2 linked regions of the Danio rerio genome follow. The protein of the gene in region 2 binds, or shares a complex with, the protein of the main gene of each other region. Links are inferred from orthologs where the notes say so. Each region holds a gene or a part of one and is shown on either strand. Other genes may lie near its edges. The genes, in order: sost and lrp6.

What was found.
Region 1: the proteins of lrp6 (region 2) and sost are in contact, whole or in part, in a crystal structure (PDB 6L6R), measured with the Homo sapiens proteins. The link is inferred for Danio rerio from reciprocal best matches to the Homo sapiens genes LRP6 and SOST. Residues at the interface, in NP_001401174.1 of Homo sapiens: Arg28, Asp52, Val70, Ser71, Glu73, Leu95, Ser96, Asp98, Glu115, Arg141, Trp157, Trp183, Asn185, Ala201, His226, Phe228, Trp242, Met269, Arg336, His361, Asp379, His404, Asp406, Thr422, Glu447, Arg449, Trp465, Trp491, Asn493, His534; in NP_079513.1 of Homo sapiens: Leu115, Pro116, Asn117, Ala118, Ile119, Gly120, Arg121, Arg169, Thr171, Arg172, His174, Asn175, Gln176, Ser177.

The regions. Positions count from the first base shown.
Region 1 is NC_133187.1:29,155,021-29,172,024, reverse strand, and holds sost (sclerostin), read right to left. Parts: upstream 9,351-17,004; 5' UTR 9,265-9,350; coding exon 9,024-9,264; intron 6,933-9,023; coding exon 6,541-6,932; 3' UTR 5,029-6,540; downstream 1-5,028. UniProt on the Homo sapiens protein: Negative regulator of bone growth that acts through inhibition of Wnt signaling and bone formation.
Region 2 is NC_133179.1:161,112-177,417, reverse strand, and holds the end of lrp6 (low-density lipoprotein receptor-related protein 6 precursor), read right to left. Parts: intron 15,384-16,306; coding exon 15,247-15,383; intron 13,849-15,246; coding exon 13,451-13,848; intron 13,068-13,450; coding exon 12,896-13,067; intron 12,754-12,895; coding exon 12,537-12,753; intron 11,830-12,536; coding exon 11,540-11,829; intron 10,800-11,539; coding exon 10,573-10,799; intron 10,413-10,572; coding exon 10,228-10,412; intron 10,030-10,227; coding exon 9,703-10,029; intron 9,417-9,702; coding exon 9,214-9,416; intron 8,973-9,213; coding exon 8,761-8,972; intron 7,764-8,760; coding exon 7,573-7,763; intron 7,126-7,572; coding exon 6,916-7,125; intron 6,722-6,915; coding exon 6,596-6,721; intron 6,395-6,595; coding exon 6,158-6,394; intron 5,945-6,157; coding exon 5,834-5,944; intron 4,671-5,833; coding exon 4,440-4,670; intron 4,121-4,439; coding exon 3,984-4,120; intron 1,317-3,983; coding exon 1,219-1,316; intron 1,143-1,218; coding exon 839-1,142; downstream 1-838. UniProt on the Homo sapiens protein: Component of the Wnt-Fzd-LRP5-LRP6 complex that triggers beta-catenin signaling through inducing aggregation of receptor-ligand complexes into ribosome-sized signalosomes.

The sequences.
Region 1 (17,004 bases), on a different chromosome or scaffold from region 2:
TGTCAAAACCTGGCAAAGTTCCACACATAATAGTCTCTGCTGCTCCTTCCTTGAAGGCTGACAAATCCTTCGTTGCAGCGTAGGTTATTATATAAAAATTCTAAAAATATTACAGGAACAAACACAACACTAGGTTGGCTTTACTGTGGTACTGGGAAAATAAACTTTAACCCTTTGTTTCTCGAATCTCCATCTGTCAGTGATCGTCATCTTCATGTCAAGATCAGTCCTGTGATCAGAAGGGAAAGGCGCATTCATTTTTTACTAGATGCGGTACTACATATTTGGTGATGTACTGTATCGACATTGACACATTCAGGTAAAAGATTAAAACCCAACAAGATTCCTTTATTCGACTCTGCATCGACTATTTCATTAAATATTGTTGTGCTTTTAACCTGACACTATCGGTGTAATAAGTGTCCGTGGAGGCATGAAAAAGGGCACACAACAACCGAAATCCATTCCAACTGTTTACTTAAATAAAACCTTCACAGCAGCGGGTAATGCTCTTGCCCAGTGCAGAGGGGTTTATTAACCATCCACACTGGAACCTGCGAGCATACTACTGAACTAAAATCATATACAACAGTTAACTAACTCCCGCGTGATGACAAAACAGCAATGGATTGGCTAATGCACAACTTGTGACTTAACGTAACGTAGCCGTAAGGTTATTAAAAGTCCTCTTTTCTGTTAACTATTAAACACTACAACAATATTCAGTAGTTATATTCAGTAGTAAACACTTTCAGATTTAACCCTCAGCTGGATGTTTTCATTCACCTAGTGCTGTGTTACACACTGCATGAAAGGTCATTTTCAAAAACCCACAATAGGGCTCTTTAATAATGACGAGAAATGTTTTGTGAGCACCAAATCAGCTTATTTTAATAATGTAATCGTGACACTAAAGTCATAACATTTCTTTTAAGCATTTTGAAAAACGAAAAACAGTTCACTTCCCCTTCACTTTAACATTTCATGTTTATTTTCAGACTTAAATTAGATTTTGAATCTCAGTTTCTTTAAACCTCTGGGACACACGGTATGTTGTAGTTCTTGTAGAGTTTCATGAATTTGGGCCCCTGACAAACTCCTGCTTCTTTTGTATAACATCACGCTCAGTAAACATACACACCCTAGGAAAACTTGGATGTTGACGACAATAGTTGGGCCATTATGCAAGTCGAGAAGGAAACTTAAGATTCAAACAATTATTTGTGAGAATATGACCTTTCCTTTTTTTTGACTGAGCCAAAACATACAGCATATTCCCAGCCAACAGAGCAATCATCACAGGAAGATGATGCATTTCGGCAAGAGGATCAGTCTATAACATATAAAAATCAGCTGATCAAACACTTTTTTTTCTTTAGCCTACATTCAAAAGAAAAACAGAAAAATTTTTAATGACTAATAGTTTAGTGATAATATAGTTTCCAATATATTGAATTTGTTTAGTTACAATACAACCTCAAGCACTTCTAACTGAGTTTCATAGAAAAGTGTGCACCAGCTCCATAACCTTTCATTTACAAAGGCAGTGTCTTTAATTTTGGATGCTTATAGCCTGACCAGAAGGAAGTGACATTCTAGAGTGGTTCAGTGAGATTTCTTTAATCGCTATCATGTGTTAGAGGTCCGTTGTGTACCACTGAAGAGGTCAACCTGTGTGCTTTTAGACACTGGAAGGTAAATATGTCATTTTAGGTTAAGCTATGAATTATTCAACAGTGACTACCTTTAATTTACTGTGGTAAAAGTCAAGTGGATAACGGTTAAATGACACTTAGAGTTCTACAGCCTCCTCTTTTTCCCAAGGCTTCACACATTCAGCCCAAATTGAAACTAACCTCAATTTTAGTTGTTGTTTTTTTGTTGTTGTTTGTTTGTTGATTTTTGTTAAAATCTAGATTTATCGTTAGGATTAGTTGAGTAATGAGTTGCCAGTACTTTCTTGTTTTGTCTTTTTTATATAAATATCCATCATTAATTATGCAATATATTGTTTTAAAGTACTAGAAATACCAGAAATACCAAAAAAAGTTAAACTTTTTAACATCAAAAGTAGCTGGATAAAGGTTGTCCCATAATACAGTCTTTAAGTTATGTGAGATATCAGCTTAAGTCATAAACATACCTTTAAGCTTATCTGAGCTATTGCCTGCTCGGGCTGACAGGGTCTCTGGAGGAGTTTTGTGTCTGAGAGACTGTGGAGCAGGCACAAAAGTGTTAAACACACACTGAGGAGTGAGTCCCAGCTGACCTCTCTCACACACTCCTGCTTTCCCTGTGGCTGTGGAGGTCTGTGCCAGGTCCCTGCCGAGTAACCACTGCAAACAGGGGCCATAACTGAGGTCAGATGCTTTGTCAGCATCAATTTATATAGGAGCTGCTCATGTGACACATTTAAGCATTTGTTCTTGAATTATGTGGAAATGATTCTGCCTGCCAGCTACTTTTGAACAAAAGCATGGCATGTCAAGTGGCCACAAATTTGGAACGATTACATTAGAATTGCGGGAAAATATGTTCCTTATAGAGTGCATTAGTGCCTGTCCACTTTTTCATCAGCACTGGTTCCGGAAGTATTTTTGCAATTGATTTTACCCAAAGGGATTTTACAAAATGTCCTTGTTCAAAGTGTTATAAGCCATGAACCAAACCAAACAGCTACGAGTGGAAACGCAACAAATAACACAGTTTGTTTCGAAGCATGGACGTATTAGGAAAATTGGACAAAAAAGTACAAAAAGTACAAACTGTGAACTCAATGGCTTGAGTGATGCAAAGGAAAACAATCCCAAGAAGCAAAAGAATACAGCTATTTATTTATAGTCGTTTTTTAAATCTATAGAAACATTATGGCCCCCCTGCCTCTTCCCCTTGGCTCTTGAAACAGAGTGTGAAAGGAAAGGGCTCAATGATCGAGACTGCTGTGGTTATTCCGGTTGTGTTATTTATTGGGGGTTTATCTTAATAACGTCACCGAAGGCAACAATATCATGTTATCATGATAATAAAACACAAACGCAAATGTATTAAAACATATGCTTGTTTGTCCTAAAAATTCATAATAATGACGGAAAATACTAATTTGTATATCTCCTGACTTCCGAGTGATGCTGTCGTTGTGGCTAGTGTATTCTGGAAAATTTTCTTACCCCTTGGTTTTGAGTGTAGTCCTGAAAAATCTCTCTTTCTGGGTATCGTGCCCTTCCCCTTAGTCCTATGCCTTCAAGCTAGAGAATTTGGACACCCTTACCCCTTCATGTGAACGCGTTAGTAAGGGCTAAGGGGTAGAGTTGGGATTGGGCCTATATTTCAAGTATATTGCAAAATATGTGTGTATATACCAACATAGGCTTATTCTGAAAACGTACCTCTATATATGTTTCTGGAGATCGCTAATTAAGTAGCCCGAGCTACGTATGTTTGCTTTTCATCTCTAAAACTAACACTACGGGGTGGTATGATGCCATTCCTTTTCACGCTTACTAGCTTATCTCCATATGAACAGCTTTTCTGCTGTTACCAGTTTGTCCAGTAGCTCGACAAGTACGTCTGCGGACTTGAGATGCAGAATGGAGTTGACAGCAACAACGGGGTTCGAGTATGGTGAGGAACGGTTCTTTAAACCAGGTAAGACAAAAACAAAAGCTAAAAAATAAAATAAACAAGTAAATAACAGGGTAAGAAAGTGGTAAAAAAAAATCAGGGGGCTTTTCTTTTTCTGGATTGCTTTTTAAAACACTGTGATTGGGTTTAGGCAAGTGGGTGGATGGGTCAATCTGTGCTTTTTAAAATACAATTGGTTGGGTTTAGGGAAGGGAGAGGGTGGAGGAATCAGTCGATTGGTCAGTCAGTCAGTCTACAGTAGCCTTTGGTGGATTTATGTGAGAACAGCAGGCATGAATGGCACTCCAAGAGAAACTTGAGACCTGAAAAAGCATACACAGCGGCCTCTGGCAGATTCGCAAAAACAAAAACAAACAAAAACTGCAAAAAACGTAGCTCCTGGGATGTATTTTGCTCTCTTGAGTAATGTATATAGGGGTACATTTTCATGAGTCTGGGTTGGTATATACAAGTATTTTAGTACTTTTAGACTGTAGAGAGATCAACTTGATCACATAATTAGTACTGTTTCATTGGACTCCTCTTTAATCTCTCAGCAAGCATTTTTGTAAAGATGTCTAAAGAAGATCTATGGTTTGGCATCGGCTAGGTCAGTTGGCATTTCTGTGTGGCGATTGCATGTTCTCCTTGTGTTTGTGTGGGTTTCCTTCTGGTGCTCTGGTCTCTCCAGAGTCCAAAGACATGCGATACAGGTGAATTGAATAAACTAAATTGGCGGTTCTGTATGAATGCAGAGTATATGGGTGTTTCCCAGTGTTGGGTTGGAGCTGGAAAGGCATCCACTGCATTAAACATATGCTGGATAAGTTGGAAGTTCATTCCGCTGTGGCGACCCCTGATGAATAAAGGGACTAAGTCGAAAAGAAAAGGAATGAATGAATATCTTTTAGTCTCATCGAACAAGTATATGAACAAGTCATTTTGTTTGGTTTACAGCAGCCTGGATCCAGTTAGACTAATATAGTGATATGTTTCATCATGAGCCAGCTCTCAAGTGTGCAACAAACAAGATTAGAAGGGCTAAAACAAGTCAAGCAATCCACATTTCCTTGTCAATCTATGGCTCAGACTGTGCAAGCTTAAACAAACAAACAGATGAATGGAAGCCTGTGGGTTGAGTTCAACATACCGGACATAAAGAGCTGGTTCTGTTGTGACTGTACTGTTCACGTCTGACGAGGGGATTCTTTCCTTTTCTCGCCTTTTGTAAAGGTGTTTTAGACATTCCAAAGTGTTACAAAGCCTCTACTTCCTAATTGCAGAATATTGTTTACAGAGGGCTCATTGAGGGACGGATTTAGAGTGCGGGCACGGCCCAAAAGGAGAAAGGATCTGTCAAGGCAGTCTGACAAGAATGATAACAAAACACACTTCTTTTCACATATATAGGTTGCTTAACTTTATTCATGTACTCTTTTTTTTCGGTATGAAATTCACTATAATTACATATAGTACAATAATGGCTATTATTTTCTACAAAAAAAAAAAAAGATTGCATAAATAATTTAAATGATAAAAATACAAAAATAAATACACAGTTCATTCTTTGTAACAGTCTTTTGGTCTGAAAGAGGATCCATTGGTTGAAGGAGGATACTGCTCACCACACAGACCACACAGGTATACTACACAGGTATACCACACAGGTATACTATGTACAAGTTACTATTCACGACAAGTCTGCTTACATTATAAGAAATCCCTTCCAGTTGCTATTTCAAACACACAATTGAAAAAATGAGCAAATATCATCGAGGTGGGCAGAAAAAATGTTGAACAATTGGCCTTCTCTGATCTCTGTATCCTGTGTAGAATCAACATCCAGCCCACGATTTCAGAGATTGGTTCACTTATTTGTTTGTTCTTTTCCGGTCATGTGTGGAAACAGGAAGGATGACATCTCTGCTGAAGACTTCAGTAATGGATGTAGGTAACCTGCTAGCGATTGCAGATAGCTGAATATCTCCAAATGGTTTCCATTGAAGGAGGGTGCGTAAAGGTTATTTGCCCGCGAGGAATTGCTGCAGATTCGTGCACACATGTGGGCCTCTTTTTCGGGTGTTCGAACAAACAGGAACTGACCATGTCTAGAGGAAATGGCTTTTTATGACTCAAATCCTAAACACAGGAATGGAACTATTTGGTAATTAGGACAAGTCACAGGAATACCGTTTGCTGTTCTCGACCTCCAGGGACTTGGACCGTGGAGGGCTGACACAACTTTCCGAACTCTCCATAAGGCGGCTCTAGCTGCCAGTGTCGATAAGTTTCTTGTGGAAATGTGAATTTGCAGACACTCACATGGACTCCCCAGCCTGTCAAAAAGGACCTGGTAAAAGTGACCAAGGTTAAGAATTCTGGGCTTCAGTGGTCTGTCAGCAGCAGCGTGTCTTTTGGGCCAGACGCGGCTGAGCGCTCAAATCATACACTGCTCCGAATCCCAAAAGAGGACAAATCTGGTGCACAAACATTCACATGAGCACTTGCTGGACTGGTGGAGCACTCAGTATGCTTGCCCGTAAGTTAGCCTTTCAATGAACTTCGGTGAACTTGAAATGAACCGCTTGAGCAGGAATATTCCTCCTCCCTCAAAAAATCACATTGCCTGATCTAATCTCGCATAACAGCGGACGTCTTTTCACTCAGTCCGCTGGCATATTGTGATCAAACTGGGACGATTTAGGCTCAAGAGCACATACAAACAGCGAGACATCTGAAATACATTGGAAACTTGTTAGCATGCCAACAAGCTTGGTAAATGCTAATGCGTTTATTCCTTCCCTTGTAGATGAGGATTGCAGTTTCTGTAATATGTGTGCATATGTATTGGTGTACTTTCTTTTTTTTTTGTATGTGTGCAAGAGAGTGTTTTCTGTATCAGTTCTGCATCTTTTCCCCTCAGTATGAATTGCTGTTGATGGACGGCACTTTGCTGCGGTGCTTCTTATTGCGCCGTGGTTTCTTGGACGACTCTTTGACATCCGATTGGTTGTGTTGTCGAGTGTAGCGTTTGCACTTGCAAGATGTGACAACTCGTATTTTGTATGTCCGGTTTGGTCCGTTTGGACACTGGAGCTGTATCCGCTGGGTGCGGGAGTGAGCAGGGATGCAACGGTAATCGGAGGAGCTGCTTCTCCACCATTTCCCCCGTAGAATTGAGTTTGGCATCAGGTGAGCTGGAAGGCACTGACCAGAACACACAAGTTCCTTCACGGGTTTGACACTGCGGCAAGATCCATCGGTCACATATCGGGTCGAACGCAACTCCCGACAGCTGAGTTCTGAGGCTCCTGGGAAAGAAAGCAGAAATGTTTTAAGCGGTACATCTTTAATAAAACACAGCTACTAACCATGCACGAAACAAATTTTTCATGTTTTGTTATATATACAAAGGCATTAAGTAGATTTCCTGAACTTGACTTTGTTGTTCTTTTGACAAGTTTCCCAGACAAATGTTGTATGTCAAACTAAAGAGGAAATGCATGATCAAATCTTTTTATATCAGCACAAAATATGCTTTTTATTTATTTATTTTCTTTAAGTCTGGTTTGGATTTATGCGACAATTTGTTAAAGATGAACTCTTTATTGAGGCTGGAATCGATGAGAAGCCAATCAATTATAAACCCACAGACACTAAACCATGTACCAGATTGTTCTGATAAGTGCAAATAAGGACTGAATATCCATGAAAGACAATGAGAGACTTCTGGGTGTCTTGGTAAGCTTGTTGTTTTTGTAAGCTTTGAATTTAGCGCACACTCGCTTAACTGCCTTAAACTACATCAACAATGTTTTCATTAATTGTCATTTAAAGAGATGAAACCGAGAGTGGAACGGGCTCCCCTCATAGAGGGGAACAAAGGATTTATGTGTGTGATGAGTTCACGTTCTGCCTCCCCTGATTCTCAGAAAACCTGATCTGATGTTTTATGAGGAGCTGGGAGAGAGCCAGAGGAAGATGAACATATCTCAACATGACCCCACACTGACCACCAGAGAAACTACACACGTCACCCCTTCCAGAGCAGCACAGGACGGTGTGAGATCTCTCTCCACCCCCTAATGAGCCAGTTAAATGTACATCCTTGGCTTGATAACTGTTTCCTTATGGCGAAACGCAACATCATAGGAGTGTTCAGTGACATAATTAGAGATTGTAAATTATCTTTGGATTGCGCAAGCCTTAAGTATTTTTACTGTTTATTGTTTTTGTGATAACTTCGTTATTCTGTTCACGAAGGAACTCTTGTTATTATTATTTTTGGATGTATTGTGTGCATTTACTTAGCAATAAATTTAGATGTTGCAATTTCTCAAACGCACTTTCCAAGACTTTAATACAAAGTCTTGATTTGTGTTCTGGAAACATGCTGTGGTTTACTTTTTTGTTAAATCCGACATACATAAACACTCTCACACAGACACACACACACACACACATTGTGCAGTGTTAGAATTCACAGTAGTTTTACTTTCCACAGGTGGAAGTCATTCCCTATCATGGCAATACCCTGAAGAAATGACCCCTTAGAATAACTTCTCACATTTTCAACTACCCTGAAACCATACTGTTGCAATTAGATGGTTATGGAAAGGCATACCTTGTCTAATTATGTAAAATTGGGGATGCAGCAAGACAAAAAAAGGCTTATTATAGTTAGTGCATCACTTGGCCTGTAGAAAAGCTGGAATGGCAGCCTTTCAGAACTTTTAAATCAAGTCAATATCCCGTTTTTATTATTATTTTTGTGTAGCCTTCATATAACCTACATCACATTATAAAGTAGGATAAATATGCAACATTGTTGGTCAATTTAGCAAATTTTTGATTATTATTATTATACACTGATTGCTGTTATCCTGTAAATGTAATTTGCTGCCGCCTTTCACACTTTAATAACAAGTATCTCTCCAAATCGGTAAAATGGAATTTGTGTAATATTTGTGTTATATTTGACACTGTTTTTTATATTAATTTAATACATTTTAATACGTTTCATTCTTATCTTAAACACACATTTCCCTTATTCATTTAACTCACAAATGCTAATGCACAAAGTTTTCTTTAATGTTATATTCCAATACCTGGAATACTGTAAAGCAATAAAAGTTCAAATAAGTAATCACAATAAATAATATAATTTATAACACCAAATTAATTTTATTTTAGATTTATTTGATTTGTTATTAGTTTGATTTTAAAAATGGTTTAAAATAATCTGAGCATTTATAGCTTGTTATTAACCACCCAATAAATCACATTTAAAGAAGAAAAATCATCTTCTAAAATTGAACAAAATTACAAAAAGTATATTTATGCTGGCGATGATCTACTTCGTTAAGCTTCTAATGATTAAATAACAGCTTCACGTTACTTACCATAAGTCCGTGTGTTTGCTGACGACCGCCTTCCACCGTTCTTCGCCCGATTCATTGTGTTATTGTCAGACAGTTGTATCTGCTCCTCGGGTTTGTGCGTGTCCTCCGCGTATTCTGGTATAATTTCTGTAGCATCGTTTTTTAAAGGCCTCCATCCGTGCGCAGCTGTGAAACATCCCTGAAGCAGCAGCAGCAGCAACAGCCGCGCGCCGCAGTGCACGAGCGCCAGAGACACCTGCATAATACAACTGAGAACGAGCCGTTCAGCGGGCAAACTTCGACCAGTTTTCTTCTCTTCGGGAGAGGCTTGCCTTTTTAAACTACCACAGGTTTTGCAAAAAACCCAGATAATTTAGCGCTTACACGAAGTGGGAGGGATTTAGGCAGAGCGGCTCATTCAGAAACTGATAGGGAGGAAGGGGCACGCGCAGAAGTGGAAGGTCAACTTGGAGAGAGAAAAGTCGTTTATTTGAGTCGTTACCTCTGTTTCATACTTAGGATCACACGGTATTAATAATCAGAGATTTGGACATGATTTGCAGTGCTATTTGTGTAGCTTTATGTTTTTTTTTTTTTTTTTTTTTGTTTTTTTTAGAAAAAGTTACTTTTAATTTTTAAAGAATTTTGTCTTTTTAAACAGATTATTGTTGGTTTTTGCAGAATACATTATATCAATACGTTATATGAATACATTATAAAAGCGAAATCTTAAACATTTAAAACTTTTTTTCAATATATTATACAGTGCAGCCTAGCCAGGCTGGTGAAAAAGGTGGTTCTTTTTTCTAAAAAAAAAAAAATCTATAAAAAATGACCTTTTTGCAGTTATTCAACTAATTTTGTATTTATTTAAATTTTAAATATTGCATTTTAGTGACATTTTAGCTGGATTAGCTTGTTGGATGGTCATCATAACCACACTTTTTGATGTACCAAAAACATTTCCTGAAGGTTTAGAATGAAGAAATAAAAAAATATATATATTTATATATATTATTTTTCATTTATTACATCATATATCATTACAAAAAAAAATCTGCTAAAGTCTTAAATCAAAAACTGCCTATTAAGGTCAAGAAATGTCAGTTATTAGGCTAATAATAATCTTCGATTAGTTATTTACACAATTTATGATGGCATAGCACGACAAATGAGCCCATGTATGGGACAAATTTAGGACCTTTGTCAATGAGGGGTGAGTCTTTCGAACCAACCCAACCCCACCTGGCTACGCACCTGGGTTATTGACCTAGGGTTGCAACATTTGTATGACAACTGGAAGAAATTGAAATTCTACGACATACATCTAATGTTTAACGTTTGAAATTCTTATTTACATGACATGAAATTAACAATAAAGTGTCAAATATTCATATAGCCTTAAACCCACTGCGAAATAGCATTCCTATTATTACTATTATTCTATATTCTTCTCATTTGTAAGCCAAGTTATCAATTTCAAATGTAATAATAATATTGCTTAATAATAATTACTACTGCTGCTACTATTCAAATGTACACTTTTATACACAACATTTTATTGCATAGTAAAAAAAAATCATTCTAATAATAAATATTGCAACTTCTTCAGTTTGCTCTGTTTTTATTAATAAAATAAACATATATTTTATTGGGCTGTAAAAAAATATTTTGAATAAAAGTATGTTATTTTTTTATTTATATTTTTGTTTTTTTGGTCTGGCCATAAGGACTATTATAAATAAGCAGTGGGACCCGCACAAGGTGCAGATGCTTTATGTCATCGTTTTAGCATTAAATTAATCGCTTTGTACAAACACTGCCCTCTTGAGGGAGCTCAAACAAACAAATACCTTGAACAGCTATTAGTGTATGTCTCTCTTCTGGCCTACTGCACTAAATGCTGTGCTCCTCCTGTCTATTTTATTGCATTATTTAATTCTGCATCAAAATGCTAGAATAACAAATACCAAGCATGAGACTGGCTGAAAAAGATCTTCTAATGCTATTGAGCCCACCAATCATATAAGCTTAAACCACCAGCAGAGAGAAAAAAAGCAGGAAAGATGGAATTCTTCTGAGATCTATTGTAACTCTTCGTCCTGTCATCATGAAGAAAAAGAAAGATCACAATGTCCACCACAGATTGTAGCCTACGCTCTTTTCCCTGTCATTCACTGGCTGTTTTTATATCTCTTTGGGTTTGTGCACAGAAAACACAGTCTCCAGGCTTGCTTTATCAAGATAGCAGCCCGAGCATAAATAACACTTAGATGTGTTCCAGATTTACAAGGGCCGCCAGCAAAAGATATTTTTATAAAGAATAAGAAAAGTAACACTGTGTCAAACCCACATAAACAAAGTGTTTAACTCATCGTGGACTGACAGGGCTTGACTCTTAATGCATATGAAATGCAAACATACATGCAACCGAGCATTAAAAGTTTTTAGATAAGAACTGGGTCAAAGTTGAGAAGAAATGTTACCCCTGCAAAAACAAAAAGTGATCTCTGCCCTGCGAACAACTTTATGCTACCAGACACTGATGTTCATTGATGATGCAAAATATTTGGCTGATCCCATATTTTTTAATTATTATATTTTATCAATAAGGAAAATTATCATATACATTTATTATTATATAAATTGGAGTATTTCCTCTGGCTGAGCCTCTTCTGAAAGACTTTCACTGTGAAAAAGCTTTCAGAAATGCAATTAACAAGTGATTTTGAGAAAGGTCAATTGCTGCTTGTTGTTTTCTTTTTTTAAAGCTCTTAAAGGCACAGTTCACCCAAAAATGAGTGAGTTCTACACCTTTATGAGCCTTTTCTGTTAAACACAAAAGGAAGATATTTAGAAGAATGTTAGAAACAGTTAACCATTCATTCATTTTTATCGGCTTAGTCCGTTTATTAGTCTTTTGTCGCCACAGCGGAATGTAACGCCAACTTATCTAACATATGTTTTACGTAGCGGATGACCTTCCAGCTGCAACCCATCACTGGGAAACATCCATACACACTAATTCAGACACATACACTACAGACAATTTAACTTATACCCAATTCACCTATAGCACATGTCTTTTGACGTGGGGGTAATCAGAGCACCAGGAGGAAACCCACACAAACACGGGGAGAACATTCAAAATGCACACAGAAAATGCCAACTGACCCAGCCGAGCCTCGAACCAGCAACCTTTTTGCAGTGAGGCGATCGTGCTACCCACCCACAATGTGGCCCACAGTTAGCCATAAGAAAAACAAATACTAAAGACGTCAATGTTTGCCAGTTCCCAAGATTTTTCATACGAACTTATTTTGTGTACTATTCTACAGAAAATGAAACTCAAACGGGTTTGTGGCAACAGGTGAGTAAATGATGACAGGATTTTCAGTTAATGTTGTTATTCTCAGTTGAGTTTTTTACTCCACGAATGCCTTTTCAACGGCAACCCAGTACTGGTAAACGTCCATAAACACTCATACACACTCATTCATCACGGCCAATTTAGTTTATTCAACTTAACTATACCGCATGTCTTTTGGATCTGCGACCTACTTGCTGTGAGGCAGCAGTATCATATATATAATTTAAAAATGTGTATTTATAATTGTATTTATATTAGCAGTATCAGTGTTGGTCAAAATTTCCTTATTGGTTCATTCCTAATATTTATGTGAAGATAATTAGAATATTTTTGCAGGACAATAAAAATGATGTGATGTTTTTATATGCTCCTGAATCAAACTAGTCTCTGAAAACCAGAACTATAGTCTATCTCAAATGCACTTTATAATTCAGGGTATCTACAGGGTCTTAAAAAGTCTTAAAATGTCTTACATTTCGAAAACCAAATTTTAGGCCTTAAAAGTATTATTTATTTATTAATTAAATAAATGGAAATTTTGTCTTGTAGGTCTTAAATAATTTTAAACGGGTCTTAATTTCCCTATGTCAATGTAAAGCTTTACCAAATTGGGCCAACACCCATCCAATCACCAAAAATATGTTTCAATAAGAGTTTTAAGAAACATTTATTTATTATCTCTATTTACGTATTAATTTGGTTTAATTATCTTCCTTGCATAACATTTATTTTAAATGTTGGTAAGACTTTATTTTGATAGTCCATTTGAGTAGACTAGCTGCTTAATATCTGTAGATGCTGCTACCAAAACAGACATTTAACTGACTATGAGAAACTTTGCAAGTACATGTCAACTTACACTAACCCTAACCCCAACCTAGCAGTCTACTCATAATCCAATTGAGAATTATTTGGCATGTAGATGCAATGTAACTTAAATTCAACAAACAGACCATCAGAATAAAGTGTGAAAGGTTTTAACTTGGCTATTAAAAAATCTTTGACGTTTAGCCTTGTGTAAGTCAGAAAAGGTCTAAAAAAGTCTTAAATTTGACTTGTTGAAACATGTAGAAACCATGTAATTAAATGGCAATTTTTGTTACCGTATCTGTCAACGTAATGCCAGAAAACAAACATTATATTAACATATAATTATGAAATTTCAGAAAAGTGAAACACCCCTGTTATGAGATGTTTACTTAACTGCTGTTTTCTCATTAATTTTGTCATTTTTGTGTGTGTTTATTTTGTTTTTAATAGAAAACCTTGTTGAAAAAAGTGGACTGCATCTGGATGTCCAGAATATCCCTGTAAAGGTATTTACAACTGCTTTACTTCTAATCAAAGAATAATAATTAAAAATGTTGTGCAGTACATGAGCACTAGTGCAAGCCTGAGTATAAGTTGCTGGCTGCAGTTTACTTAACAGCGCCACTAAAGTTTGCTAAAATCTATGTACATACAGTATACTGTAGCCCTTGTAAAGATTGTAACTTGTGTCTCCAGTATCTAAATGACATATGTTTGGCTTTTATTTACAGCGCAATTTACATTTATTTACAATTTCTTACATATGTCACAAACTGTGAAATTTGAGCCTGTGATAATCCAAAACTTTTTTACACCGAATTTAAGTCATCAAACAGCTCAGGCGATAATCTATTAGGAATGTCATAATAACATTTCACAAAGCCTGCTAATGGATATATTATAAGTGTCTCTGGATGTAAAATGAGATACTGTAGTTTTGCTCCAAAGCATCAGTGATTTCTACTTTCAGATGTGCAGATTACATTATTTTCAGCTGTCCTGGGAACTAATGTCTCATTTAGAAATATAGCCCTGCAAATATTATTATAAATGAGGCATCTGCGCAGTGTTACCGAAGAAAAATTTTATGGATCATATTTTATAAAGCACAGCTCCCCGTAGCATGTGAACCCACAGTCTTATAGTCATACCTCACATCTCTGTCTGCCAAGTCATTTGCATTTGTCATTAGTAGCGCATTTTTCATACTGGAAAGAATAGTCTGATGATTTAACAGAAATACAAGCACATTAGGTGTTTAAATAAGCCATGACTAGCTGAATCATTCTGAAGTCCAAATCATGTTTTTTAAGAGTTCATTTGAGTTTAAGAGCCGTGCAAAACCTCTGCTGTGGTTTCTCTGTGCATCTCGGCAAACTTTCCTGACCACTGGGTTCATGTGTTGTTAACCATCCTGTAACCACTATATGTGGAGTTGTAGAGTATTAGCAGTGCTGCCACAAGTGCACTTGTAAACATTCGTCACTTAGCGCTTTATTGAGTCTATTTATCCATTGACGACCTGTGCACTGGTGAGAAAAACACACTATAGCCAGCTTATGAAGGAAAGGGATTTGGGAGAAACAATTGGACATTGCTTACAACTTCAGTAGAACTGTTTTGAGAAATGTAGTGTGTCATTGTGCTGTGATTTGTTACAATCCAGATTGCAAAATTTCAAAAATTATTTATTTATATAATCAAATCAGGTCCAGGATTACTGGAAGTGATATTTAGCAGAACAGCGTCACACATCTTGACATTTTCAAGTGATTTGGCTTTGTCATGTGCACAATGTGCAATTATAGATACCATGTTTGTTTAAACATAAAGTTGACCGTTTCAGTATGGTGTAAGCTTGCACCATTGTAGCTGTTGTGACATCCAAAAAGTTTCTTTCATTAGGTATAATGTGCACTTTGTTTTGTCAGTCCAAATGAATCCTATTTGATGTCAGATAAAACAAAATCAGTTTTTAGCTAAAAGAATGCTAACAGATATGGATTTTAAAATGGTTATTTTCCTCCACTGAGCACACTGTAAATAAAATCCATAAAATTTACTGTAAAAAAATGGCATCTGTGGTTGTCTGAACTTTACCATTAAAAATAATAATAATTCCTTACATTTAAATAGTGTTTTTCTGGACATTTAGAGTGCTTTACACGTTGGGGGAATCTTTTTATCCACCACCAGTGTGCAGCATCCACCATGGCAGCCATATTGCACCAGGCTGCACACCACTCACCAGCTGATTGGTGGAAAAGGAAACAGAGTGATGAAGCCAATTATGGTATGGGGATGGTTAGGAGGCCATGAGGAAGCAAATTTTGCTGGGGTTAAACCCCTACTCTTTTTCGAAGGGCATCCTGGGAAGTCAGAGAGTCAGGACCTTGGTTTAACGTCTCATCTGAAAGACAGCGCTCACTGAGCAGTCCCCTTCACTATTCTGTAGCATTAGGACCCAGGTTGAGCATCCCCTGATGGCCTCAATAACATCACTTCCATTAATTTATAATGTTATACACCAGTGTTTCATGGTTATGACACCTTTATCTTCTGAAGAAGTCATATGATGAACCAAAGCTCATCACAAACAACTTTTCCCAGGAGCAGAGAAAAACATTAATATATAGAAGATGCTCAGTGTCATTCACACAACTACTAAACACTATCATGGAAACACATATAATAGTAAATCTATAAACATTATTTATCAGCAATAGATGTAATAAAAAGCTTGAATGTACATTACTCAAGATGAAAACAAAACATAAAAAAGTAGCAATGTCAACAAAAATGCTTAAAAAGTGAAGTGTCATGCAGGGAATTCTATACAGTCAATATACAGTTACTAACCTTTGTCACAATCATTAGCAATTTAATCTGTATAGATCACTGGTAAACACGCAGACTGATATAGAACTACAAATCTGCCATTATATGGACTACAGGTCTAGTCATGCACTGCTCACATGCACCTGTTCCCGATTCTCGTGATTTGAATTGTCAAAGACTGATTACAAGGACTATTTTACAGCTCACACACAGACACATCAGTGCCGAGTCTTGTTTATCTGTTACTGTGAACATTACAACGTGTTTCTCTTGTCTTGCTTTGCTATGTTTTGACCCTCGCCTTGGTTGTTTATTTACATTGTCTGCTATTAGCTTGTACTGACCATTCACCTTATTGACCACGACTCTGGATTGCCCGTATACATCTGTTTGTTCCTGTGTTGACTGTTGCTTGCCTTACCATTCTCCTAATAAACCTTGCATATTTAATTAAAGCCTACATATTTAATTTTGTTTGTTAAGCACAAAGCTTTTTCAAAACTATTTTTAAATTTAGTTTTCATTCCCAGCAAATGAATAAATGAACACTAATGTGCTCAAACAACTCAGTTATAGTCAAACACATGTCCTATTCTTATGCCCCATGTGGTGACGTGTACGTCTCCAAAAGGTGGATAAATCTAACCTAGTTTTTATTAAAACAAATATAAATATGCATATAATAAATAATACTACTAATTATAATAACTTCTTACAAATACAAATTGTCAGTGATGGGTTGCTGCCGGAAGGGCAACTGCTGCAAAAAACATGTGCTGGATAAGTTGGTGGTTCATTCTGCTGTGGCGACCCCTGATTAATAAAGCCACTAAGCCAAAAAGAAAATGAATGAATGAATGAAACTGAAAAAAGCCCCCTGCCATGGAGGCAGTGGTTTTTATATTTATGTAGAAAATAATAATTTTTGTAGAATTTTAATCCTGTAATTTTTTTCATTTGTAAAGATATTTGTGTGTTGCTGTA
Region 2 (16,306 bases):
GGATCCAGAAGTGCTACAAACACACACACACACACACACACACACACACACACACACACACACACACACACACACACACACACACACACACACACACACCAATGCATTATGGGAAATCTAAAGCTTAGACCGGAGCTCTCTCTCACACATACACACACACACACACACACACACACACACACACACACACACACACACACACACACACACGTGCGCGGCTGCTCGTCCTCTGATAGCTTATAAATACAGGATATGTACAGTGTGCGGTATAAAAATAGCAGAGCTCTTCTGGCACTCATGTAGAAAAGTGGAAAACGGCGGCAAGAGTGTGTGTGTGTGTGTGTGTGTGTGTGTGTGTGTGTGTGTGTGTGTGTGTGTGTGTGTGTGTGTGTGTGTGTGTGTGTAACCGCTCAGGCACGAGTCGCCGCCGTGATTGTGTGTTACGCCAGCAGGTGGGCGGGAGGTGTGTGCTGATTGGCTCCTCCTCGTCTCTCATATAAAACAGTATAAAAATAAGCGCGCCGCCGCGTCACAGTGTAGAGCCTGCAGGGGGCGCCGCCGCGCGGCTCAGGAACTATTTGGCATGGACACCACACGCGTGTGAGTCAGATTAAGGCAGCGTGTGCGTGTGTGTGTGTGTGTGTGGGTCTGATAAATCTCTCTTCATCAGTGTCCACGTGTGGGTAACCGCGGCAACACTGTATAGAAATATATAAATATGCTCTTCTCTTACTGTACAGCGCCGCCAGAGCCCTCAGCTGTCCTTCAGCGAGACACAGTCACTTATATATATGTACAGAGGCAGTGGGGGCGGGGCCTGGCGCGCAGGGGGCGGGGCTCAGGAGGAGTCTGTGCAGGGCGAGGGCGGCGGCGGGTACAGCTGGTGCGAGTAGCTGCGCTCGGTGTACGGTGACGGCGGGCAGCTCTCGCAGTTCTCCTCCGCCGACAGGTACTGGCTGCGCGGCGTGGGCGGCGGCGGCAGCGGCTCCGAGTCGTAGTTCAGGTCGCTAGCGTAGCCTTTAGCAGCAGTGGCGCTGGATGCGTGCGGAGCCCGGCGGCCCGGCGTATAGTCACTGTCGCACACATCCGTGCTGCACGGCGTCGTCGGAGGAGCGAAGTGGCGGTAACTGTACGGCCGATAGCTGCACAACACACACATTAGCATGTTAGCATACAGAGGTTTAGCATTAAACGCGTGATGGGCAGAGGACATGTTACCTGTAGGAGCGGTGTGTTGACGGGCTGTTGGAGGAGTAGCCGAACTCCATGGTGTACTGAGACCTGACGGTGGCTGGAGATGGAGGAGGGTTCAGGATCTGCAGAACAGCAGAGACATTACACATACATCATCAACTCACTGTGTGTTATAGAGAGAGCCTCACACAGCTGAGTGGAGCTGACAAACCACCTGCAGGAACACTTCTCCATAACACCGCCTTCCCTATCCCTGAACACTAGAGGCCCGCTTCACTGAGTGCTGCAGGTCCGGTCAGATCAGGTCAGGACACTCTCATGGCCATTCCCACTGTCAGACGGTGCCTAACATTGAGTTCACACTGCAGGATTTAAACCCGATTGAGCCTGATTTGGAAGTTACCTTGCTCTCCGACAGATCGGCTGTGATTGGGGAAAATCTACAGGTGCTCAGCGCTCGGCAGTGTTTATGTGTGAACTACTGAACAATGCATCTAAGAGGCTCGCTGAAGCGTCACCGACACCTCACAGATGTAAATTTAATAATCTAGCATGCTGAATATTCCAGAACAGTCGGCCGACTCCACCCCACGCATGGTCAGATGTAGTGACGAGCCGCAGCCAATGAGAGAGCAGATCAGCATGTGCTGACTGGCCATGGTGCTCAGGAGCTCAACAGAAACGTCTGTGATTGGCCAGAACGGGCATCGATGCGCTCGCTTCATTCTGCATTAACAGACACGAGAGTGGGCTATATTAACAGCAGAACTATTAGATTACCACACTGCTCATCCTGACCGTTCCCACATGAGACGTCATATTTACATTTAAAGCTTCTATTGAGGTATTAAAGTAAGCTGTCTTGAATGTCTGTCATCATATTTCATGACAGCATTACACTGAAAGTATGATCTGTTCTGGTAATGCAGACTATTAATATGAAGAGATTGAGGTGAACACAGAACACCAGTGTCCATCTGCAGCTCCTTCACCAGACTCCACACTCATACACACTCGTACACACTCGTACACACTCGTACACACTCGTACACACTCGTACACACTCGTACACACTCGTACACACTCGTACACACTCGTACACACCAGGGCTCGAAATTGCGACCATTTTGGTCACATATGCACCCGAAAATTAATCTATGCGACCTCATAATATATATGGAGCATTAGTGCGACTGCAGATAATAGTTGTAGTGCGACCTGTTTTGATTTTTTGTAAAAACGTGCTGAATCGCTCTTCTCTGCCGCTATATTGGTTCATATTAGCTGTCAATCACTCAAGGTATTCCGCTGTCAGATGACAGGGAAGGAGCTTTTATGACCACGGGAAATGCAAATGGCTGAATATTGAAAACTTAAAGCGCACAGGTTTGCAAACCCCACCTAAAGTTGAGGCGCAGATGAGAGCGATCATGACACGTCACGTGGTGAATATTGATCCGCCAGCTGAGATCAATCGAGTATGCGCTTCTTGGAGAAGGTGCCCGAATCTCGATGCGTTCCGTTCACTGCGTGTTCAGCGCAAATGTCCGCTAAAAGTCAAATCTAATACTGTACATATCATCGCCAAAGAAGCTCGCCTTTACTAAGTTTACACTGAAACTGCGGCTCATAACAAAGACCGGTATTGCGCCGAAGGTTAGCGCAAGAATCCTGCTCTGCCTGCTCATAAATTGGGTCGGCTGACTCGCCTGCTTTTCCACTAACACAGAAAAATGAAGATCAGCTCAGACTGAACCTTTAAATTGACACAAACTGAAACCAAAACTTTTAAAGAGTGATAGAAGTGAGACTTTACTTACTTTCTTTTGTCTATTCTTGTTTGAGGTGTATATTATTTTTTTATTTATTTACTGATGACTGCTTTGCAGCTTTCATCATTGAATTGAATGATTTATTATAATCTTTTGTTTGTTTTGTAGCAGAAATATTATTTATTAAATTGACATGCATATAAAAACAGCAGCACAAAATAAATATTTCTTACTGCAATGCTTCATTTTGGTTTGATGCAAACTATACAATTATTTTTCATAAAGTAACAGACTTTTTATAGCAGATAACCTACATTCATGCACATTCAAGGCAGCATCATAATGAGAAATGTTATTCATTGTTACTATTATTGTCATTTTCATCATCATTAATATTCTATGGCCTAATTATTAGACATTCATTTTGGAATTATTGCACACAAATATCAAAGTCTTCGCAGCATTAGTTAGATAGCTGTTTCTGGTTTTTGTCAGTCCTATTGATGTTGTTTTAAAATACAATAAATCCCTTAAAAAACAATTTGCAGCGGTGCTCATTCATTTTTGGTGGTGCTCCTAAATTTTTTCTGGTGCTCCTAAATATTTGAAGTTGGGAGCACCGGTGCTACCAAGTAAAAAAGTCAATTTCGAGCCCTGCACACTCATACACACTCATACACACTCATACACACTCGTACACACTCATACACACTCACGCCATCAGGCCCACTCTCCTCACAGACACACAGCTTGTGATGTCGTTGCGATATGTACTTATATTTCTGAGCATCATCAGCCACGGCGAGGGCTGTGTGAGCATGCGCAGGCTGCATCGGAGCACACACACACACACACACACACACACACACACACACACGGGCACTTGAGGCAAATCAGCCTTAATGTGGAAGGGGGACATCACGGGCACAGTAACAGCTCTGGCAGAAGTACTGAAACAGCTGTGTGTGTGTGTGTGTGTGTGTGTGTGTGTGTGTGTGTGTGTGTGTGTGTGTGTACCGGAGGGAAATATGCTCCTTTAGTGCTGGACGAGCTGCTGGACGAGGCTCCGGTCACATGAGCGCGGTCGTACGGTGGTCCACTGCTGCCTCCCATGATGCTCAGCGAGCCCATGACTGACTTCCCTCTGGACATGCCTGAACACACACACACACACACACACACACAAACACACACACACTTTAATTATTCATGTTTATTGTTCATGAACACACACAAATAACAATAAAACACTCAGAAATAATCATATTAATCTCACACACACACACACACACACACACACACACTAGTATCTCACACACACACACACACTAGTATCTCACACACACACAAGCATCTTACACACACACACACACACAAGCATCTCACACACACACTAGTATCTCACACACACACTAGTATCTCACACACACACACACACGCTTCTCGTCAGTGTGAGTGTTGTTGGAGCTCCACCTGGCAGTGATCCGCTCAGGGATGCGGGGTGTGGGACGTATCCCAGCGGCACCGGCGGCGGTCCGTGAACCACGAAGTCATTGGTCATGGTGTCGGCGTCGTCCTTCATCTGCGGGCAGAGCACGCGCTGGCACACGAAATACACCGCGCCGACCACGAACAGCACCATCACCACACCCACGATTGAGCCGATGGTGTTAGTGGGAGCAAACGACGGCTCCTCTGTCGCATCTGAACACACACACACACACACACACACACACACGTCAGAGCACCATCATCATAAACACGCATCATCACACTCATCACTGTGGTAACCCTGCTGGGTGATCTCCATCACTCTGGGTTGATGTGGAGTCCTCATGTGTCTCTCTGTGTTTCAGGATTCTGCTGACTGATCTGACTCTCACACACACATTTAGAGGAGATGATCAACACACAGTGTTCAGCCGGACTCTCCTGTGCTGATGATCTGCCCACTGACCCCCATTATAACCACACACTCACCCCAGCACATCCACTGCTGCACTCACTGACATGAGGAGGACCAGAGTCCAGTTCTCCAGCTGATCATCAGCGACAGAGTCTGGCTTACAGACGGAGACAGAAACTCGCCAGCACAGGCTGATCATCAGCAGGAGAACTCACACTGTCCCCCTTAATCCCAGCAGGGACACCAGCATGAGTCAGTACTGCAGCGTTCTCTATATGATGAGTGAATGGGTCAGAACCGGCACCAGCATCACCACAGGAGAGTCGCTCCGTCCAGCACACAAGGGTTAAACCATTCATTCATTCATTTTCTTGTCAGCTTAGTCCCTTTATTAATCTGGGGTCGCCACAGCGGAATGAACCGCCAACTTATCCAGCAAGGTTTTATGCAGCGGACGCCTTTCCAGCTGCAACCCATCTCTGGGAAACATCCACACACACACTCATACACTACGCACAATTTAGCCTACTCAGTTCCCCTATAGCGCATGTGTTTGGACTGTGGGGGAAACCGGAGCACCCGGAGGAAACCCACACCAACACGGGGAGAACATGCAAACTCCACACAGAAACACCAACTGAGCCGAGGCTCGAACCAGCGACCTTCTTGCTGTGAGGTGACAGCACTACCTACTGCGCCACTGCCTCGCCCGGTGACACCACATCTGCAGTGATCATTGCTGTTTCTGGGCAGAGCTTTGTCAGATGTATCTACACAGTGTGTTTCTACACTCAGTCCTGGAGGGCCGCTGTCCTGCAGAGTTCAGCTGCAGAGTAAGAGCTCGATTATAGCCCAGGGGTGTCTGATCAGGGCTGGAGCTACACTTCGCTGGGCAGCGCTCCTCCAGGACTGGGTTTGGACACCGCTGAGGTAGTGTCTGTGTGCTTCATCAAGCTCTTACAGCAGCCGATCTCGTCTGAGTTGTCTGTGCAGTCCATGTTGTTGTCACATTTCTTGTGTCGGCCGATGCACTGTCCGTTTGAGCAGGTGAACTGATCCGCAGGGCACAGAACTACAGACAGACAGAGGTGAAGAGTCAGACTAGGCATGAGCTGATAACCGATTCACTGTTCACAGGACAGATGTCTGATCAGGTTTGTGTTTTTAGTGATGTCAGACGCCTGAACCCTGTGCCAGCGCAGAGCTACAGACATGTTCAACAGTAATGAGAATATATACACACACACACACACACACACACACACACACACACACACAGACACACCTTCACACTTGTTCTCGTCGGAGCGGTCCTGGCAGTTGATCTCTCCGTTGCAGCGCAGCGCCGCGTCCACACACTGCCGGCTGTCACACTGGAACTCCCGGCTGGAGCAGACAGGACAGTCCCGCTCATCACTGCTGTCATCACACTCCGCAAACCCGTCACAGCGCCACGCCTGCGGGATACAGTCCACCTCACCCGACACACACGAGAACTGCTCTGGAGAACACGTGGGCGGCTCTGAGGACACACACACACACGCACACACACACACACACACACACACACACCGTCATCATCAGCAGAGATCAGACAGAGTTATCCTGCAGATGAGCAGTGAATCTGTACATGAATACACTCTTTTAGTGTGTGTGTGTGTGTGTGTGTGTGTGTGTGTGTGTGTGTGTGTGTGTGTGTGTGTGTGTGTGTGTGTGTGTGTACCTCCGCACGAGAGCTCGTCCTGCAGCAGCACCAGGTGAATGGGGCAGGAGCAGCGTGTGGTTCCGTCTCCTTTCACGATGCAGATGTGTGTGCAGCCGCCGTTATCAGACGTGCAGGGGTGTTTACCTGTGCGCACACACACACACACACGTCATTACCGTAAAGAGCACTCGCAACATACTTGAACATTTATACTTTACTGTTGAGATTCCCGTCACACACACACACACACACACACACACACACACACACACACACACACACACAGACAGACACACACACACACACAGACAGACACACTCACACACACTCAGACTCACTGTACTCCTGCATGTCCAGCTGGTGGACGGCGTGGATGTCGCTCAGTGAGGCGATGCGCGCCTGTATTTTGGTTCGTCCCTCTCTCGTCACCTTGTGGATCCTCTCGATCATCTGCTGCTGCCGGTCGATCCAGTACAGGAAGTTCCCGAACACCGTCAAGCCCACCGGCTGCAGGATGTTGGAGTCCTCGATCACAATCCGATTGGCTCCTAGGCAGAAAGGGGCGGAGATACGGGTGGTCAGAGGCGGGGCTAAGCATGTAAATCAGAATCCCGAGCAGAGCTGAGCGAGAGGAGGAGAGAGAGGAGGAGAGAGAGGAGGAGAGACTAGCGAGAGGAGGAGAGAGAGGAGGAGAGAGAGGAGGAGAGACTAGCGAGAGGAGGAGAGAGAGGAGGAGAGAGAGGAGGAGAGACTAGCGAGAGGAGGAGAGAGAGGAGGAGAGAGGAGGAGAGACTAGCGAGAGGAGGAGAGAGAGGAGGAGAGAGGAGGAGAGACTAGCGAGAGCAGCACACGAGCACATGCGGAGGATGAGACAGACAGCAGATGACGAACATCATGACTGATCAACTATGTGGAACAGCAGAAACTCCTCGAGCCCTGTGCCACCCCTGAACCCTCATCATCATCATCATCATCAGTGTGACCTTTGACCTCACCGGACAGGTCGCTGCTCTCGATGCGCCGCAGGTCCATGTCCACCCAGAAGAGTTTGCCCAGCTCATTATCCACAGCCAGAGCCACCGGCCGGCCCAGATTACTGAAGAACAGCACCTCACGCTCCGTCCCGTCCAGAGCACAGCGCTCGATCTTCGGGGAGCGCTCCTGCAGATTACTGAAGTACATGTACCTGCGGACGACACGCAACACACCGTCACACACACACACACCGCTCAACACGCACTGACCAGCGCTCCCCCCACAGCATCACCATGATGAAGACCTGTGTTCATCAGACAAACACACACAGTCCAGAACCGCACCGTCAACACATCAGCACACAGCTGCGGGCAGAGCTACTCACCCCCTGTTCATTTCCCCAATCTCTGACTAGCGGAGAGCAGATTACCCCTGATCATGACAGTGTGAACAGCTGATGTGTTCCTCTTCTCCATGATGATGCACAGAATATTAGACTAGATATTCTTCAAGACACTAGTGTTCAGCTCACAGTGACATGTAAAGGCTTCACTAGGGTAATCAGGGTATTTATTGTGAAAGCAGTTACAGGAAATTACCAGAGTTTTCCAGGAGGAATAAAAACGGGATGTTTGGTCTGAAAGGAGTGTTGGCAGGTGAGCTGACCAGTTTAATATTGATCTGATCTGCTGTATAGAGATCAGACTGTTATAATCTAAGTGTAAGGGCTAATTATGCAGTTCTGTCGCCATCTAGTGGATGAAAACATCAGTTGTGTTTGCTCTACAGCAGGGGTGACCAGCGCTGCTCCTGGAGAAACACCTTCCTGCAGATTTCAGCTGCTCCCCATATCAAACACACCTGAACCAATTAATCAAGACCTGAACACCAGGTGATCATTACAGGCAGGTGTGTTTGATCTGCAGGATGGCGGCTCTCCAGCAACAGGGTTGGTCACCGCTGCTCTACACTATGGCTGGTTAATGGCCAGCGCTCTCAGAAACTGTAAATGTTTGAAATAGGCATTATCTTATAAATAAACCGCACAGTTGCAATCTAAACAACTGCATTGTGTGTGTGTGTGTGTGTGTGTGTGTGTGTGTGTGTGTAGAGCGGCTCACACTGAGCGCACAGACTGATTATCCCCATCATGGCATGTTGTCATCATGAGTGTTCATCGGTACACTGAATGCTAAAGCGTCGCTCACCCGCGCTCAGGGTTGACAGCGATGGCGCGGGGTTTGTCGTGTTCTCCGCGCAGCACCACGCCGACCCGCGAGCCGTCTGTGCGCGTCACGTTGATCACGTTGGTGAGCTCGCTGGTCCAGTAGATGAAGCGGCTGTAGATGTCGATGCTCAGGTCGTACGGCTGCAGGCCGAGGTTTGAGCCGCCAACAGCGCCGGACACCACCGTCACACTCTGCAGAAACACACACACACACACACACACTCAGGTCATGTGCACACACACGGTGGCGCTGCTCCATATCAGAAAGTCTAACCTAATATCAAATGCCCAACCCGAGGACTCATATGATGACAATAGCCATGGTCAGACCCAGAGCAGCAGTGTGTGTGTGTGTGTGTGTGTGTGTGTGTGTGTGTGTGTGTGTGTGTGTGTGTGTGTGTGTGTGTGTGTGTGTGTGTGTGTGTGTGTTCACCTGGTTCCCGTCCTCCTGTGCTCGGCGGATCACATTCTGCTTGGCGTCGATCCAGTACAGGTGCCGGTCCAGCGGGTCGTAGTCGATGGCGCGCACGTTCCGCAGGCTGTGGATGGGCAGGATGATGTCGGGGCTCTGCAGCTCGTCCATCACCATGCGGTTAATAGCCGTCTTCTGGCTGAACAGCAGGAACGACGTCGGCGCTGAAACACACACACACACACAGGGATAAATGATGGTGTACACACACAACCCTGTCGTTTAGTGTCGGCCCAAACAAACCAGTGATGAGTTCAGCTGCGCTCCCCATCAGGACAGTGTTGATCAGTCATGTAGGAGAACCAGAACACACACACAACCCAACCACAGCGAGCCAGAGCCCCGCCCCTCTGCTGCACCAGCAACACTGAGGCCAATGAGTGTGTGACGTCAGTGTTGATGCAGTAGTGGGCGGGGCACACACACACACACACACACACACACACTCACCGCTGCAGGTCTTGTTGTCGGTGTTGAGGGAGTAGTGGGCGGGGCAGCCGCAGGTGAAGCTGCACACAGGTACGGCGAGGCACAGGTGTGAGCAGTGGCCGTTGGTGGCGGCGCAGGCGTTCCAGCCGCTCTGCCGGGACGAGTGGAACACCAGGATGTCCATCACGTAGTCCAGGTGGCCCTGAATGACGGTGCGGTTCTGCCCGCTGGTCTTGTTGGCGCGCTCGATGCTGCGCTGGCTCCAGTCCGTCCAGTAGATGTAGTCCTGATACTGCGTCAGGCCGAACGGGTGCGGGAGATCATCCGCGATCACCTCGCGCTCCAGACCTGCACACACACATACACACACACGCAGACACACGCGCACACACACACACACTCATTATCCAGCGTTGTGTTTATTATAAAGCTGAGATGCTAATATCACACTGAACACAGGGACAGCACACATTCAATGAGTGAGTGTGTGTGTGTGTGTGTGTGTGTGTGTGTGTGTGTGTGTGTGTGTGTGTGCGTGTGTGTTACCCAGCATGTTGGAGGACTCTATGAGTGTGGTGTCGAGGTCAGTCCAGTAGAGCCGTCGCTCAGCGTAATCGATGGTCAGTCCGTTCGCTCGGCCCACGTTCGGCACCAGAGTGATGCGGCCCGACCCGTCCATCGCTGCACGGTCTATCTTGGGCCGCCCGCCCCACTCTGTCCAGTACATGAACCTACGCCACACACACACACACACACACTGATATTAGACCTTTTATTATATATAGTAATAGTAGCACACACACACACACACACACACACACACACATATACACACACACACACACACACACACACACACACACACACACACACACACAGAGTCAGTCGTACCCTTCAGCGGGGTCGAGGGCGAGTGCGCGGGGGCTGTCCAGATCCTTCCACACCAGCACCTGCCGGTGCTGCCCGTCCAGCTTGGCCACCTCGATGCGGTTGGTGCCCGTGTCAGCCCAGTACAGGTTCTTGCCCAGCCAGTCCACCGCCATGCCTTCTGGGTAATCCAGCCCGAACTCCACCACATGCTCCAGAGAGCTGCCGTTCATGAAGGCCCGACTGATCGTCTGAAACACACAACTGCACAATCAACAACACACACACACACACACACACACACACACACAACTAAACCAACACACTGCACAATCAACAACACCACACACACACACACACACACACACACACACACACACAACTAAACCAACACACTGCACAATCAACAACACACACACACACACACACACACACACACAACTAAACCAACACACTGCACAATCAACAACACACACACACACACACACACACACAACTAAACCAACACACTGCACAATCAACAACACACACACACACACACACACGAGCACACACACAAGCACACACACACACACACACACACAACTAAACCAACACACTGCACACACACACGCTGCACTACACAATAAACAACAGAATTCTGTGTGTGTGTGCAGTGTGTTGGTTTAGTTGTGTGTGTGTGTGTGTGTGTGTGCGCTGACCTTCAGTGTGATGTCGGTCCAGTATATGCGGTTGTCGTGTGTGTGTGTGTGTGTGTGTGTGTGCGCTGACCTTCAGTGTGATGTCGGTCCAGTATATGTGGTTGTCGTGTGTGTGTGTGTGTGTGTGTGTGTGTGTGTGTGTGTGTGTGTGTGTGTGTGTGCGCGTGCGCGCGCTGACCTTCAGTGTGATGTCGGTCCAGTATATGTGGTTGTCGTGTGTGTGTGCGTGTGTGTGTGTGTGTGTGTGTGTGTGTGTGTGTGTGTGTGTGTGTGTGTGCGCGTGCGCTGACCTTCAGTGTGATGTCGGTCCAGTATATGCGGTTGTCGGTGATGTCGAAGTCGAGGGCGGACGCCTCCTTGACGCCGGTCAGTGGGATGGCCACGTTGTTGTTGTTGGTCTCCAGGGAGATGCGTCTGATGTCGGTGTGGCGGGAAAACAGCAGGAAGGCCTCGGGGACGATGCAGGTGCTGAGATCCGCCATCAGCTCCAGGCCGATAGGACACGCACACGACACACCCTGAGGCCGGTACAGGCACAGGTGACTGCAGCCGCCATTAGCCCACGCACACGGGTTCACCCCTGCGCACACACACACACACACACACACACACACACAATCAAGTATTTTAAAAATGGTTTATAAAAGGTCTCTGGTTTGAGTCTCGGCTGGGTCAGTTGGTGTTTCTGTGTGGAGTTTGCATGTTCTCCCCGTGTTGGTGTGGGTTTCCTCCGGGTGCTCCGGTTTCCCCCACAGTCCAAACACATGCGCTATAGGGGAATGGCAAACGCCTGGAAGGGCATCCGCTGTGTATAAAATATGCTGGAATAGTTGGCGGTTCATTCCGCTGTGGCGACTGCTGATTCATAAAGGGATATTAGCTGTTATTAGCGGTGTTCTCTGAATGGAGAGGGTTTGTTTGACACATCCAATCATGCTAAATCTGTTGTGTTATCTGACAGAACAGGAGCGCTCTAAAAGTAGCCGGTTCTCCTTTGCTGTGTAATATCCCTCCGCCTGGTGCAGCTGCGACATGTTTTATTATGTATTTAGTATAGTTCCTGTTAATATTTGCCTAGAGAACACATCTTATACATATGAATGAATAACTCTTTAAATGAAATGCTAATGGTCTAATCTGATTCTACTCATTATGCTAAGCTAAGCTAAAACAAGAGACCGGCTGAAGTCATTGAACTCTGGGAGACTCGTGAAATGAGGCTTTTCCAAATACAGGTGGAGTGATGCAGTAATGCGCTGTAGCGGATTAGCATTAGCATTAGCTTACCGAAGGTCTGGTGGACGAACGTGGCCTTGATGCCCATGAGGTCGGGCAGCTGGTCGATGATGACCTCCCGCTCGGTGCTGCGCTTGTGCACGCGCTCGATGCTGCGCCGCTGCCAGTCCGTCCAGTAGATGTAGTCTCCCAGCAGCGTGAAGCCGAACACATGCGGCAGGTTATCCTCCAGCAGAACCCGCCGGCCCGAACCGTCCATCTCCATCACCTGCAGGACAACACACACCTGCTCATCAGCGCCGTGTCAGGACACTTGAAGGAGAGCCATTCTGAGCCTTTATACGAGCTGCAAGACACGTCTCTGCTGTGTGTGTGTGTGTGTGTGTGTGTGTGTGTGTGTGAGATCTGACCTCGATGACGTCGGTCTTGGCGTCCCCCCAGTAGATCTTCCTCTCGCTGTAGTCGAGCGCCAGGCCGTTGGGCCAGCCCAGAGAAGTGTTGACCATCACCATCCGCTGCGACCCGTCCAGAGCCGCCCGCTCGATCTTCGGCACCTCGCCCCAGTCTGTCCAGTACATGTATCTGCGACACACACACACACACACACACACACACACCATCAGCTGCTGAAGACACTGCACTCCTCCTGTCCTCCTGCAGTGTGGTGTTCCTCTGGGCTCTCTCAGCTCACACCAGCTCTGATATTCGCACTGATCTTACAGTTCGGCTGGAATAACAGCAGCGTTTAGTGTAAAACACATGCTGATCCGCTTGTGTACAGAGTACTGCGCTGTGCTGTCGTGACTCGGCTGATTGTCCTGGCTCTGAGCAGAACACTGGTGTCTCATAATACTGAACACACTTTAATAATGCAATGCTGATGCTAGAACAGGAGTGTGCTGCTGAACTCTGCCCCTAGAGGACGGGCCCTGTACTGCAGGCTTTCTGAAATAAGCGCGTCTCACCCGGCGACGGGGTCCAGCACGATGGCTCTGGGCTCGTCCAGATCCTCTGAGATCAGGATCTTCCTCATGGTGCCGTTCAGTCGGGTCACCTCGATGCGGTCCGTGCCGGTGTCGGTCCAGTAGAGGTTTCGTGCGATCCAGTCCACGGCGATGCCGTCCGGGTGGTTCACCTGCGAGGTCACCACCAGCTGAGCGTCGCTGCCGTCCAGGAGGGACCTGCGGATGGCGCGCACCTCGTCGTCCGTCCAGTAGATGTGTCCCTCCACCGGGTCGTAGTCGATGGCGATGGCGTGCCGGATGTCCTCGGCCTGCAGCACGATATCAGTGAAGTCCGGCGTGTCCAGAGAGATCCGGCGCAGGTCTGTGCGGCGCGCTAGCAGGAGGAGCTGAGACGGGCCTGCAGGAGGAACCAGAATACAGGACTGATCAACACCACCTCACGGACCCTCACTGTGCTGTATGCAGCGGTACTGAACATTTAAAAACATCCCGTCCACACACACACACACACACACACACACACACACACACACACACACACACACACGAGCAGCGTTTAGTGCGGTCAACACCGCTGATTGGCTGTTGTGTTGTGGAAATGACAGTGATTGGCTGTGAAGGGGATCAGTTCACCATTCTTCAGTGCACAACACACACACACACACACACACACACACACACTAGGGCTGCACTGACCCTGATAGCAGGATCAGATATGGGTTTGATGCTGCATATTGTTGCTGGATCGGGTACTGGCCTGCTGGTTCTGATCCAAATCTGATCTTGTGTGAGGGAGTTAGTGAGGGATTATACAGTAAAGCTGGCCTCAGACGGTTTAGTGGAGTCTGCTCAAACCTGCAGGATGATGACTTTACTCAGTCCACACTTCAGTGCCATGACCAACACTCAAACACTGCAGCCTGTAGAGTCCAGCAGCGCCATGCAGCTCAGAGAGTGTCGTCTGCCATGTTCAGCGGCCTGTAGATGTGCTGCTTTACTAGAGAGGATATAGAAACTGTATAATGCTCAAACCAGCACAGTGTGGAGATCAATACTCTCTCACACACACACACACACACACACACACACACACACACACACACACACACACACAGGGAATGAATGAATGGAGGCCGCGGAACACACAGATCTCCCATCAGGCCGTGCTGCGGTGTTCATTCAGAGGGGGAGGGACGCACACAAAGACCCTTACAAATGAGTCTCTTTCAGCCCGAGCCATTCAACTAGTGCAGAGCGTTCCCAGCAGCCGCAATCACTCACCGCACACACACACACACACGCGCACGCACAGACATACACACACACGCGCTCACATTGGAGGATCACACGCTACCATGGCAACCACCGGATGGTAACCCTCCACGGCAACCAGAGAGAGAATAATGCAAGATGACGGATGATCGAAAACACACACACACACACACACACACACACACACACACGCACACACACTCTCTCAATCAGTAGGATAGATCTGAACTGATGCAGTCGTCCATCATGAGTCCAGCAGTGTGTAGACTGCAGTGTGTCCCGTGTCTGATCAGTTGTTGTGGTGTTCATAGAGTTACCCATAATCCTTTGCTGTGTACTGCTGTCTCACACACACACACACACACACACACACACACACCGCACGACACAAACATCAGTACAGGAAGCATTGTGCAGGTGTGTTTAGGGTATAAAACAGTCATCAGCCCCTGACAGAAGAGCAGCGTGTGTGTGTGCGTGCATGCGTGCGTGCGTGCGTGTGTGTGTGCGTGTGTGTGTATCTCACCGTCTCTGCAGCTCTTGTGGTCCTCCAGCAGCTGTACGCCGGTTGGACAGGCGCACTGATAGTAGGGTTTGGCCGGAGACAGCAAACACAGATGAGAACATCCTCCATTCCTCACAGAGCAGGGGCTCGCCACGTCTGACACACACACACACACACACACACACACACACACACACACACACACACACACACATGAGAAGACACGTTGATGAAGCGGTCTGTGTGGCGGCTGTATAGTTTAGGGTTAGGGTCAGCAGACGAGGTGTTTACTCTCTGTGTTCGCCGCTGTGATGCTCTTCAAAATCAAAAACAGAGAAGTAGGACGTTTCCGGAACCACACCACATCATTAACATCATTCAGTATTAGAAACTAATTATTGTGATTATTTGAATGATTAAGGACTTGTAAACCCATTCACCAGCGTTAATGAAAGTGTGCCGCATCTGCTGCTGCTGTCCATATCTCAGACCGCTCTACCTGTTAAAGTGGAGTATCACTGATGGCAGAACACGGACAGCTCGACAGATATCATGACAAGAAGAAAAGCAACAGACGGCACTCTTACTAAACATACAGATGATTACTGCTGATGTAGCCCGCTGCACTGCTCACACATGACTGACCATCATCACCACTAAAGCCGAGAGCAGAGCCGGAGCGTCCATAGAGGCGACTGAGGCAGCCACCTAGCGCCGCAGTATAGAGAGGGCAGCGACCGCGACACCTCCCTTACCACCCGCGTCCTCAGTTATATCCGCGCATAGGGCGGCAGAATAGATGTCTGCGACACCTCACTTCATTTTCATAACCGGTCACTTGCGTTTTCACATTGGGGTTGAGGGCGGCGTGATCGTCCTCTGCCTAGAGCAGCAGTTCAGCTCGCTCTGGCCCTGGCCGAGAGGCCGGCATCAGTACACTGAGGATCAAATATTCCCTCCAGATACCAGTAATGAGTATTTTAGTATTAAATAGTTTACATTAGACTGTAATATGTGCGTCAGTGTTAAAGCTGTGACTGCTGGAACACAGATTGTGTACTGGCTCTCTTCTTCTGCCT